2 linked regions of the Danio rerio genome follow. Each later gene encodes a partner of the first gene's protein in a complex. Links are inferred from orthologs where the notes say so. Each region holds a gene or a part of one and is shown on either strand. Other genes may lie near its edges.

What was found. Proteins that work in one complex are often made in the same cells at the same time.
Region 2: usp39 (region 1) and snrpe share a complex: the UniProt entries of both Homo sapiens proteins name them as parts of the U4/U6-U5 tri-snRNP complex. The link is inferred for Danio rerio from reciprocal best matches to the Homo sapiens genes USP39 and SNRPE.

The regions. Positions count from the first base shown.
Region 1 is NC_133180.1:74,860,896-74,865,480, forward strand, and holds part of usp39 (ubiquitin carboxyl-terminal hydrolase 39), read left to right. Parts: intron 1-1,877; coding exon 1,878-2,066; intron 2,067-4,585.
Region 2 is NC_133186.1:40,126,559-40,130,773, forward strand, and holds the end of snrpe (small nuclear ribonucleoprotein E), read left to right. Parts: intron 1-2,873; coding exon 2,874-2,952; intron 2,953-3,060; coding exon 3,061-3,116; 3' UTR 3,117-3,255; downstream 3,256-4,215. UniProt on the Homo sapiens protein: Plays a role in pre-mRNA splicing as a core component of the spliceosomal U1, U2, U4 and U5 small nuclear ribonucleoproteins (snRNPs), the building blocks of the spliceosome.

The DNA of each region.
Region 1 (4,585 bases):
AAATCCATATCAGAACAGACACGTATTCTCATCATGGACAGGGCTTCTGTCTGCCCGGTGACTGTTGCTGAATGGCTAACATGGATTTTATTGAGAAAATGACTGTGTTATGTTATGAAGGCTAAAAACAACGTCGATTCATTTGGAGTCGTGTCTGAGTCCACTAGACCCTTTCAGAGGTGCACCCAGCTCTGTGAGCTCATAAACTACTCCAGGAACTTAACCTGGATAATGGAAGCGTTTAGCAATGCATTTGACTGAGCCGAGCCCAGTTTGATGAACTGATGTCGGTGTAGGCAGGAGGATTTACCCCTTTGACATCAACAACAGGTGGTCATAATCACGAAAAGTGGGCGTGTCCAGCTCTGTTTAGGGGGGAGTGTCGAAGGAAGTAAAGAGGCATGGTGTGAGATTGTCTATTTGGGCGCGCTGACTTACAGAGTCAAAACACACACACACACACACACACACACACACACACACACAGGGGACAAAGTGACTGTGTTTACATGGACATCTGTAGTCGAATTATTTGCCAAATTATTAAATGGTGGACTTTAACTGCAGTTTGGCTCTTTCATTCAGGGAATTCATTCATGTCCCTCGTGACAAACGAGATATTTGATTCGAGGAGCTGCTCTAAGCTGGTATTTTTCATGCAATGTTTGATACCGCACGGCGAATGAGAGAAAAAAAAACCTCCGCATTTCCCGGAAACTTAGATGCACACGGCAGGTAGCGTCAGAAAGCCGCGTGTGTTATTCCGGTCACTAAATGCGGTGAAAATCCTACACGAGGTTAAAGTTTGGTTGTGGTGCTAACATGTTTACACTCGGTGCAATAGTTACCGTTAGTTCGATACGAACAAACTGAATAAACAAATAGCACTGGTCGCTCACTTACCAAATCTGTAGAGACAGGACAATCCACAGCAACTAGAGCCGCGTCTTTATTAAGAGGAGACTACAAGCGAATCCGGATCTCAGCGTTTGCAGATGAGAACAGCTCTCATGTAAACAATAATCCTCCTTAGACACGTAAGTTATTGTTGTCGAGCGTCGCGTACACTGTTAATCCACACGTGACTCCAGCTGCGCTCTCACAGAGAGAAAATGAAAACAAAACTTAACAGCAGCAAACTATAAAAGCAACACTTCACGCTTGTTTTGCCAACACAACGTGGCGTCTCTGTCGTCTAAACACTGTGACAGTAATGAATATTAATGAAGTTGCACAATAGAGCGCGCTGATTGGTTTGAACCAAGCCTTACTCATGCATTAATGCATCACACTGTAAGACGTAATAAGACTCACTCTGGCACAGACGTCCAGTCTGCACGCTGGAATACAGGCTATTATGTCATGACCGTGACGCAGCTTCAAAAATTAGTTTCAAACCGGAAGTACGAATTTGCTTGAAATAACGCAAAAACAACCAATTTACAGTTTTTAGTGAAATATAGGTGTCCTAATAGTGTTTTTAGCAGTGTGGGACACATAGACGTCTGTCAACAGCTCAAAAAATGTGTTTTGGTGTTTCTTGACCCTTTAAAAACTTGCTAAGGTCAGTATTATTGGCCCTCTTAATAACTTATTATTTTTTCCAAATTGGCTACAGAACAAACCTCTCTTGTCTAATGACCTACAGAATTAAATTCTTTAAATTGCTCTCCAAGCTAAATACGAAAGCAAAATAGCTAGAAAAATATTATGTACTGTCATCAGTGTGTCGAAAAGAACTCTCCTTTAACCATCACTTGTGAACTTTTCAAAAAAATTATAAAAATTGCACAGGAGGGCTAATAATTTGGCCTTCAGCTCTTTGCCAAATGGGATAAGTCATTCATTCATGTGAGTAATTGTTTTCTTTCTGTCAGCCTCCAGAGGAGAAAGAAGCTCTTCTGCTGAAGGAGGAGTATCAGGAGGAGATGTCGGAGTCCACCTTCCTCTACCTGACCCTGGATCTGCCCACCGCACCGCTTTACAAAGACGAGAAGGAGCAGCTCATCATTCCTCAGGTCCCGCTCTTCAACATCCTGGGAAAGTTCAATGGGAACACAGAGAAGGTGCAATTTTTTGCAAATTGTCTGTTTGTTTTTCTTGCTTGTTTGTCAGTCATGGTGTTCACAGAAGTGTCTTAAATTCCATAGTATAAAGATAAGACCTTAATTAATCTTAAAGCGTCTTAAATCTGCTTTTCAAAGGTCTTAAAAATGCAATTGAATCGATCTGACCCCATAAAGAAGATTTTGTTTTTATTTTTATTTATCATATTCATTCATTCATTTTCTTGTCGGCTTAGTCCCTTTATTAATCCGGAGTCACCACAGCGGAATGAACCACTAACTTATCCAGCACATGTTTTAAGCAGCGGATGCCCTTCCAGCTGCAACCCATTTCTGGGAAACATCCACACACACTCATTCACACTCATACACTACGGACAATTTAGCCTACCCAATTCACCTGTACCGCATGTCTTTGGACTGTGGGGGAAACCGGAGCACCCAGAGGAAACCCACGCGAATGCAGGGAGAACATGCAAACTCCACAGAAACCCCAACTGACCCAGCCGAGGCTCGAACCAGCAACCTTCTTTCTGCTTGGCGACAGCACTACCTACTGCGCCACTGCATCGCTAATTTATCAATTTTATATTACTTTTATCAAAATTTTACTCTATAGCAGCTGTGTCAACCTATGGATTAGCAAATAAAGAGCTAGAGATGCATCAATCAGTTGACCAGGGACTGGAACTGGATGGTTTTTGTCATGACCGGCCCGAATGGTGATTGCCGCTGCACCTCAATTATTATTATTAGTTTCTCTACTAATTTTTTTTGACTATTCTATATGTAAAAAGAGTGTTAAGGATGGTAATTAGCTGTGTTGTTTGTTTTTTTGGTACTATAAAAAATGTAACTTTACAGTTGGTCTTAAACTTCATTCTGCGTGGTATTAAAAAGGTCTTAAATATAAATCTTAATATAAACCTGCAGATACCCTGGCAAATGATTTGGAAATTATATTTGCTGTTCAGTCATTTTAATTTCTATGTTCTCGGTGGTTTAAATGAGGTTTTTACTTGTATTTGTTTGCTTTTTAAGGTCATTAAACTTTTAAATTGATTTCAAAATCCTGCAGATACCCTGGAAATATATAAAAATTATTTAGAAAATTTCCAAGCTTAATGGCAAGTACACACACACACAGTTGTATGTGTTTGTCAAAGCTGCATGGCAGTGCACATTAAAGGTCTGCAAGCACATTAAGTTTGTTTTTGAGTCCAGTTGGACTGGACTTGGTTCATTTATTAATTCTTTTATTGTTCATTCATTAATTTTCTTGTCGGCTTAGTCCCTTTATTAATCCGGGGTCGCCACAGCGGAATGAACCACTAACTCATCCAGCACGTTTTTACACAGCGGATGCCCTTCCAGCCGCAACCCTTCTTTGGGAAACATCCACACACAATCACTCACATACACTACGGACAATTTGTGACATGGTACAGGTTAATATACACTGCTGAATGGATATCTGTTATGTTAGTGTACAAAATAAACCCGGTTTAACGTCCACAAACTGGGATTGAAGCGTCTTTTATAATTGTTCTGACACGTGGCTGTGCTGATGAAGTGAATCTAAAGTGAATCGCTGTACTTCATTACACACATGCACTGTTTTAGAACATTTCAAACTTGTAAGACTCACTCTTGATCACGTTTGATGATGATTGATGATCCTAGCAAACTGGACAGACCTTTTGTTCACAATTGCTTTGCGCTTGTCCTGTCTTGTTGATATGATTTCTACGGAGACATGTTAATGCGCGCAGCTGTCAATCAATATTGGTGGGCGGGGGGACCGCACTCCTACATCAAGTTGCGGCCGATCTGAAAACCGCTCCAATTAGTCTACTATTTTTATGTTGTTAAATTAAAAAAAAAAAGGACTGGGTGTGTTTATATCACCCCAATATGACAGTATATACACTATACTTACACGCATGTCTATCCAAACAGCTTTAAAAGTAGATTTTTCACCATAGGTGCCCTTTAAGCACAAGTTTATGGGTTTGTAAACGAGAAGGTAAAAGTAAAATCAGAAAGGTATAAATAAATGTTCACACTTTACAATAAGGTTCATTAGTTAATGTTTATTAATGCATTTACTAACATGAACAAACAATGAACAATACATCTACTACCGTATTTGTTCATGTTAGTTAATGTTAGTTAATGAAAATGCAGTAGTTCATTGCTAGTTCATGTTAACTCATTGGTGCATGTCACAGCTATATCACCCTGCAGCCCAAGACCGGTTACTCACTGAAGCTAAGCAGGGCTGAGCCTGGTCAGTACCTGGATGGGAGACCACTAGGGAACACCAGGTTGCTGTCGGAAGTGGTGTTAGTGAGGCCAGCAGGGGGCGCTCAACCTGTGGTCTGTGTGAGTCCTAATGCCCCAGTAAAAAGTGAAGGGGACACTACACTGTCAGTGGGCGCCGTCTTTCGGATGAGACGTTAAACCGAGGTCCCGACTCTCTGTGCTCATTAAAAATCCCATGGCACTTCTCGTGAAAG
Region 2 (4,215 bases), on another chromosome or scaffold:
TACATTTTTGATTGGCTTCAGAACAAACCTCTGTTCTCCAATGATTCCCTGATTACGAATGCTTTATAATCATTGCTTATGAATGCTAATTACCCTTAAGCTGAATGCTTGTATCTTTTAAAAATAATATAGCAAAAACAAAAGAAATTAGTAATTAATACTTGTTTAAAAATGTGCTGGAACAATCTCTCTGCTAATCAGCACTTGGGAATTATAATTATTATTTTTATAAATATGCCATCATCGGTGTATAATATTTACTCCTTTTATCAGTACAATATACACTCACAAGCCACTTTATTAGGTACACCTGTCCAACTGCTCGTTAAGGCAAATTTCTAATCTGCCAATCACATGGCAGCAACTCAATGGCTGTTTCTCAATTCCAAGAATGCAGAGATTGGACTTGCGTTCTTGTGGAGACCAGTCTTGCCAGTTTTCCTTGGAAGAACAAACTCGGGAGACCACGAGAACAGGGAACGCATCCAGTGGGAAATGGGATGCTGCGTTCTTCCTGATGGTCACGTGACCTTCACTCGTTTTAATTTAAAATTTAAACATTACAGCATTCATACAATGAGTTATTGTTTTTCCCCTTTTCAAAATATATACTCTGCATAAAAACATTATAAATATACGTTGCACAGTATCAATAAAACAGATTTTAATACAAATTTCAGCAAACAAACACCCTTATTGCCTTTATTCCTTTATTAAGATGTCTATGGTAATGTTTATATTTACCGTTTCATTTAGGGAAACTCCTGAGGTAAATAAGTGATATCTCTGAACTTTAATAATAAATCTAAATAAAATGCGGCGCTTCCCACCTCCAGTCGCAATGACTTCTGGGAATTCTAGCAAGATCGTTGCTCAAGTCTGCATCGCTGCATCCTCAATATCAAGAACGCATTCGGGAAGTTTCACGAGTCCTCTGTTCTTGCAGTCTTGAGTTTTGGAACTGAACTTTGGCAGCTGATGATGACATTACATGACTACAAGGACGCAAGACCACTAAAGATTGCATATTGAGCAACAGCCAATGCATTTAGGCATATAGAAATTATCCAAACGATCTGCTGCTGTTCAAACGGAGCATCAAAATGGGGAAGAAAGGTGATTTAAGTGACTTTGAACGCGGCATGGTTGTTGGTGCAGGACGGGCTGGTCTGAGTATTTCAGAAACTGCTGATCTACTTGGATTGTCATGCATAACCATCTCGAGGGTTTACAGAGAATTGTTTGAAAAGGGAAAATATCCAGTGAGGGGCAGTTCTGTGGGCGCAGATGCCTTGTTGATGTCAGAGGAGAGTGGCCAGACTGGTTCCAGCTGATAGAAAGGCAACCACTCGTTAAAACTGAGGTCTGCAGAAGAGCATCTCTGAATGCACAATACGTCCAACCTTGAGATGAATGGGCTACAGCAGCAGAAGACCACACCAGGTGCCACTCCTGTCAGCTATGAACAGGAAACTGAGGCTACAATTCACACAGGCTCACCAAAATTGGACAATAGAAGATTGAAAAAAGACACCTGGTCTGAGTCTCCATTTCCGGTGACATTCGGATGGTAGGGTCAGAATTTGGCGTCAACAACATTAAAGCATGGATCCATCCTGCTTTCTGTCAATTGTTTAGGCTGCTGGTGGTGGTGTGATGGTGTGGGGATATTTTCTTTCACTCTTCAGCAATTAAGGCAGTTCTGAAGGCAAAAGGCAATCCCAGCACTAGTAAGGTGTGCCTAATAAAGTGGCCGGTGAGTGTAGTTCTTTGTAAGTTTTTAAAATCTATTTTAAAGATAAAGAAGAAAGACACACAGCAGCAGGGTTTTTTAAATATTTAGACCTAATGCACAAACGAATGCAGATATTATGCAATAAGTCGATGCACATCTGACCATTCAAGTGCAATCCAAGGTTCAGTGTATACATGCTCCAGGTGTGTGTATGTATGTGTGAGTAATACCTCATTCACACTAGCAGTGACTTTGAAGCTGCGTGCCGCTCAGGGTGGTGAACTGCTGCAAGTGCAGGTCTGTGTAGGTCTAGAGCACGGAGAACACAACCAGCCTCTGAGCGAGCAGAGAGAGGATCATGTGAGCTCTACTCGCGCTCCTGTTGGCTATCACTCAAGAAAGTTGCTTTTCATAGTTGAAAGATTCTCAACTTGGTCACGCTGCTCAGAAGGTCTCCAGAAGTTGCTCACTCACTTTGCTGGTGCAAGTCACTCGTAGTGTGAATGAGGCTTAAGGCATTATAATAATTTTTGTGACTTATTACTCTTGCTGACTTATTGATATCAAGCCAGTCCTGCTCTTTATTTTCTGATGTACACTCTTTTTATTACCTAAATGTAATTACTGCCGGGCTGCTTTTACCATAAAACATATTTTGGTGGAATGTGGAAGTTTTAAAAACCATTAGACAAAATTTAAGGAGAGTATTTTGATGGACATTTTTAAAAAGGTATCACCAGAAAGAATTTTAAATAATTTATCACAAATTGAACTAAAAAATCATATTTAACTTTTGATGTATTTTTTTGTGAATTTGATCTATTTTGATTTTATATATTCGCCTAAAGTAACTTTTTTTATTGTAATACTAATGTTTTTATCATGTAATATTTTATTTATATCCATTTTGCCACGAAACAGCCAAAGGTTGCTGATGTGGCAATAAATAAATAAAAATAAATGAACACTTTTTTTGTAAAAAAAACTAAATATTTGACACATCAGTGCACCATGCATGATATGCCCATTTATTTACACATTTTAAATATGGATTGTTTTTATGGAAATATGGAAGTTTTTCATATCAACTGTGTCACACGTCTTATTAAAAAGCCTCTATGATTTCTTTTCTTTCAAGGGGTTTGATGAGTACATGAATTTGGTTTTGGACGATGCGGAGGAGGTTCACATGAAGACCAAAAACAGGAAGCCCTTGGGTAAGTGTGAACTTCACACTTGTGGTGAAATATGCATTTCAGAGAAGCAAAAATAAAAGAAATTTATGAAGAAATTCACAATGAGGGCTTTTTTTTTGTATTTAACAGGACGGATTATGTTGAAAGGAGACAACATCACGTTGCTGCAGAGTGTGTCCAATTGATCCACATGAATATTATTTGTTTGCTGTTAATGTTTGTTTTCATTTCTCAATATTTGGATTATTGACTGACCTATAATTGTGGAAACCTTTTTGTTGTTTTCTAAATCTCCAAAATAAACCCCTTTTTCACTGTTTCAGACTACTGTATTTAGTATGATACACAGTATTGTGCCAGTGGCGTAGTGGTTAGTCCATCGATGCATGCACTCTGCTGCTCAAGGCGACCCGAGTTTGATTCCCACCTCGAGGTCCTATGCCGATGTTTTATTTATTTTTTCCCCCTTTTTCTGCTTTGCATGCTTTTTCTGTCAGTACTCTACTGTTCTATCTATTATCGATGAAATCCCCCACAAAAAAAAATAATTATAAAAAGTACACAGTATTGTTTCTGACTGGAAACACTTATGTGACGGCTTCATTTTGTTAAACAAAAAGCAAATTATCAAATATTTGAGGTTGGTGTTTTTTAAGGTATTCCGAGTTCACCAAAAGCTAAATTCAATCAAAAATACAGGAAATATTATTGTAAAATAGGGAAACTTAAAATCTGATTTTATTTGATTATATTTAATTAGTTGAAGATTCAGCAACAGTTCTCTATTATTCAGTGTCAGATGATCCTTCAGAAATAATATGCTGATTTAAAGTCATAACTGTCTTTATTGTAACTTTAGTGCAGGGGTGTCCAAACTCAGTCCTGGAGTGCCGCTGTCCTGTTTAGTTTAGCTCCAGCTTGCTTCAGCACACATGCCAGGAAGCTTCTAGTATATGTGGTAAGAGCTAGATTAGCTGGTTCAGGTGTGTTTGATTAGGGTTGGAGGTAAACTCTCCAGGACACCAGCCCTCCAGCACTGAGTTTGGACACCCCTGCTTTAACGTGTTTAACCTCTTATAAATATTATTATTTGAAAGATTAGGCTTGTTTTTGTGCACAACAAAAACATGCACCACAAGTATAGCAGTTGGTGGGAGTAGTATTTGTCTCTAAAGAATTTGTAACTATAGTTGACACCTTATTGCAGCTAATCGTGTGGCCACTGGATGGCAGTACATTACACATTATCTACTGTTGTTGACTTGGACTAACTTCAAACGGTAA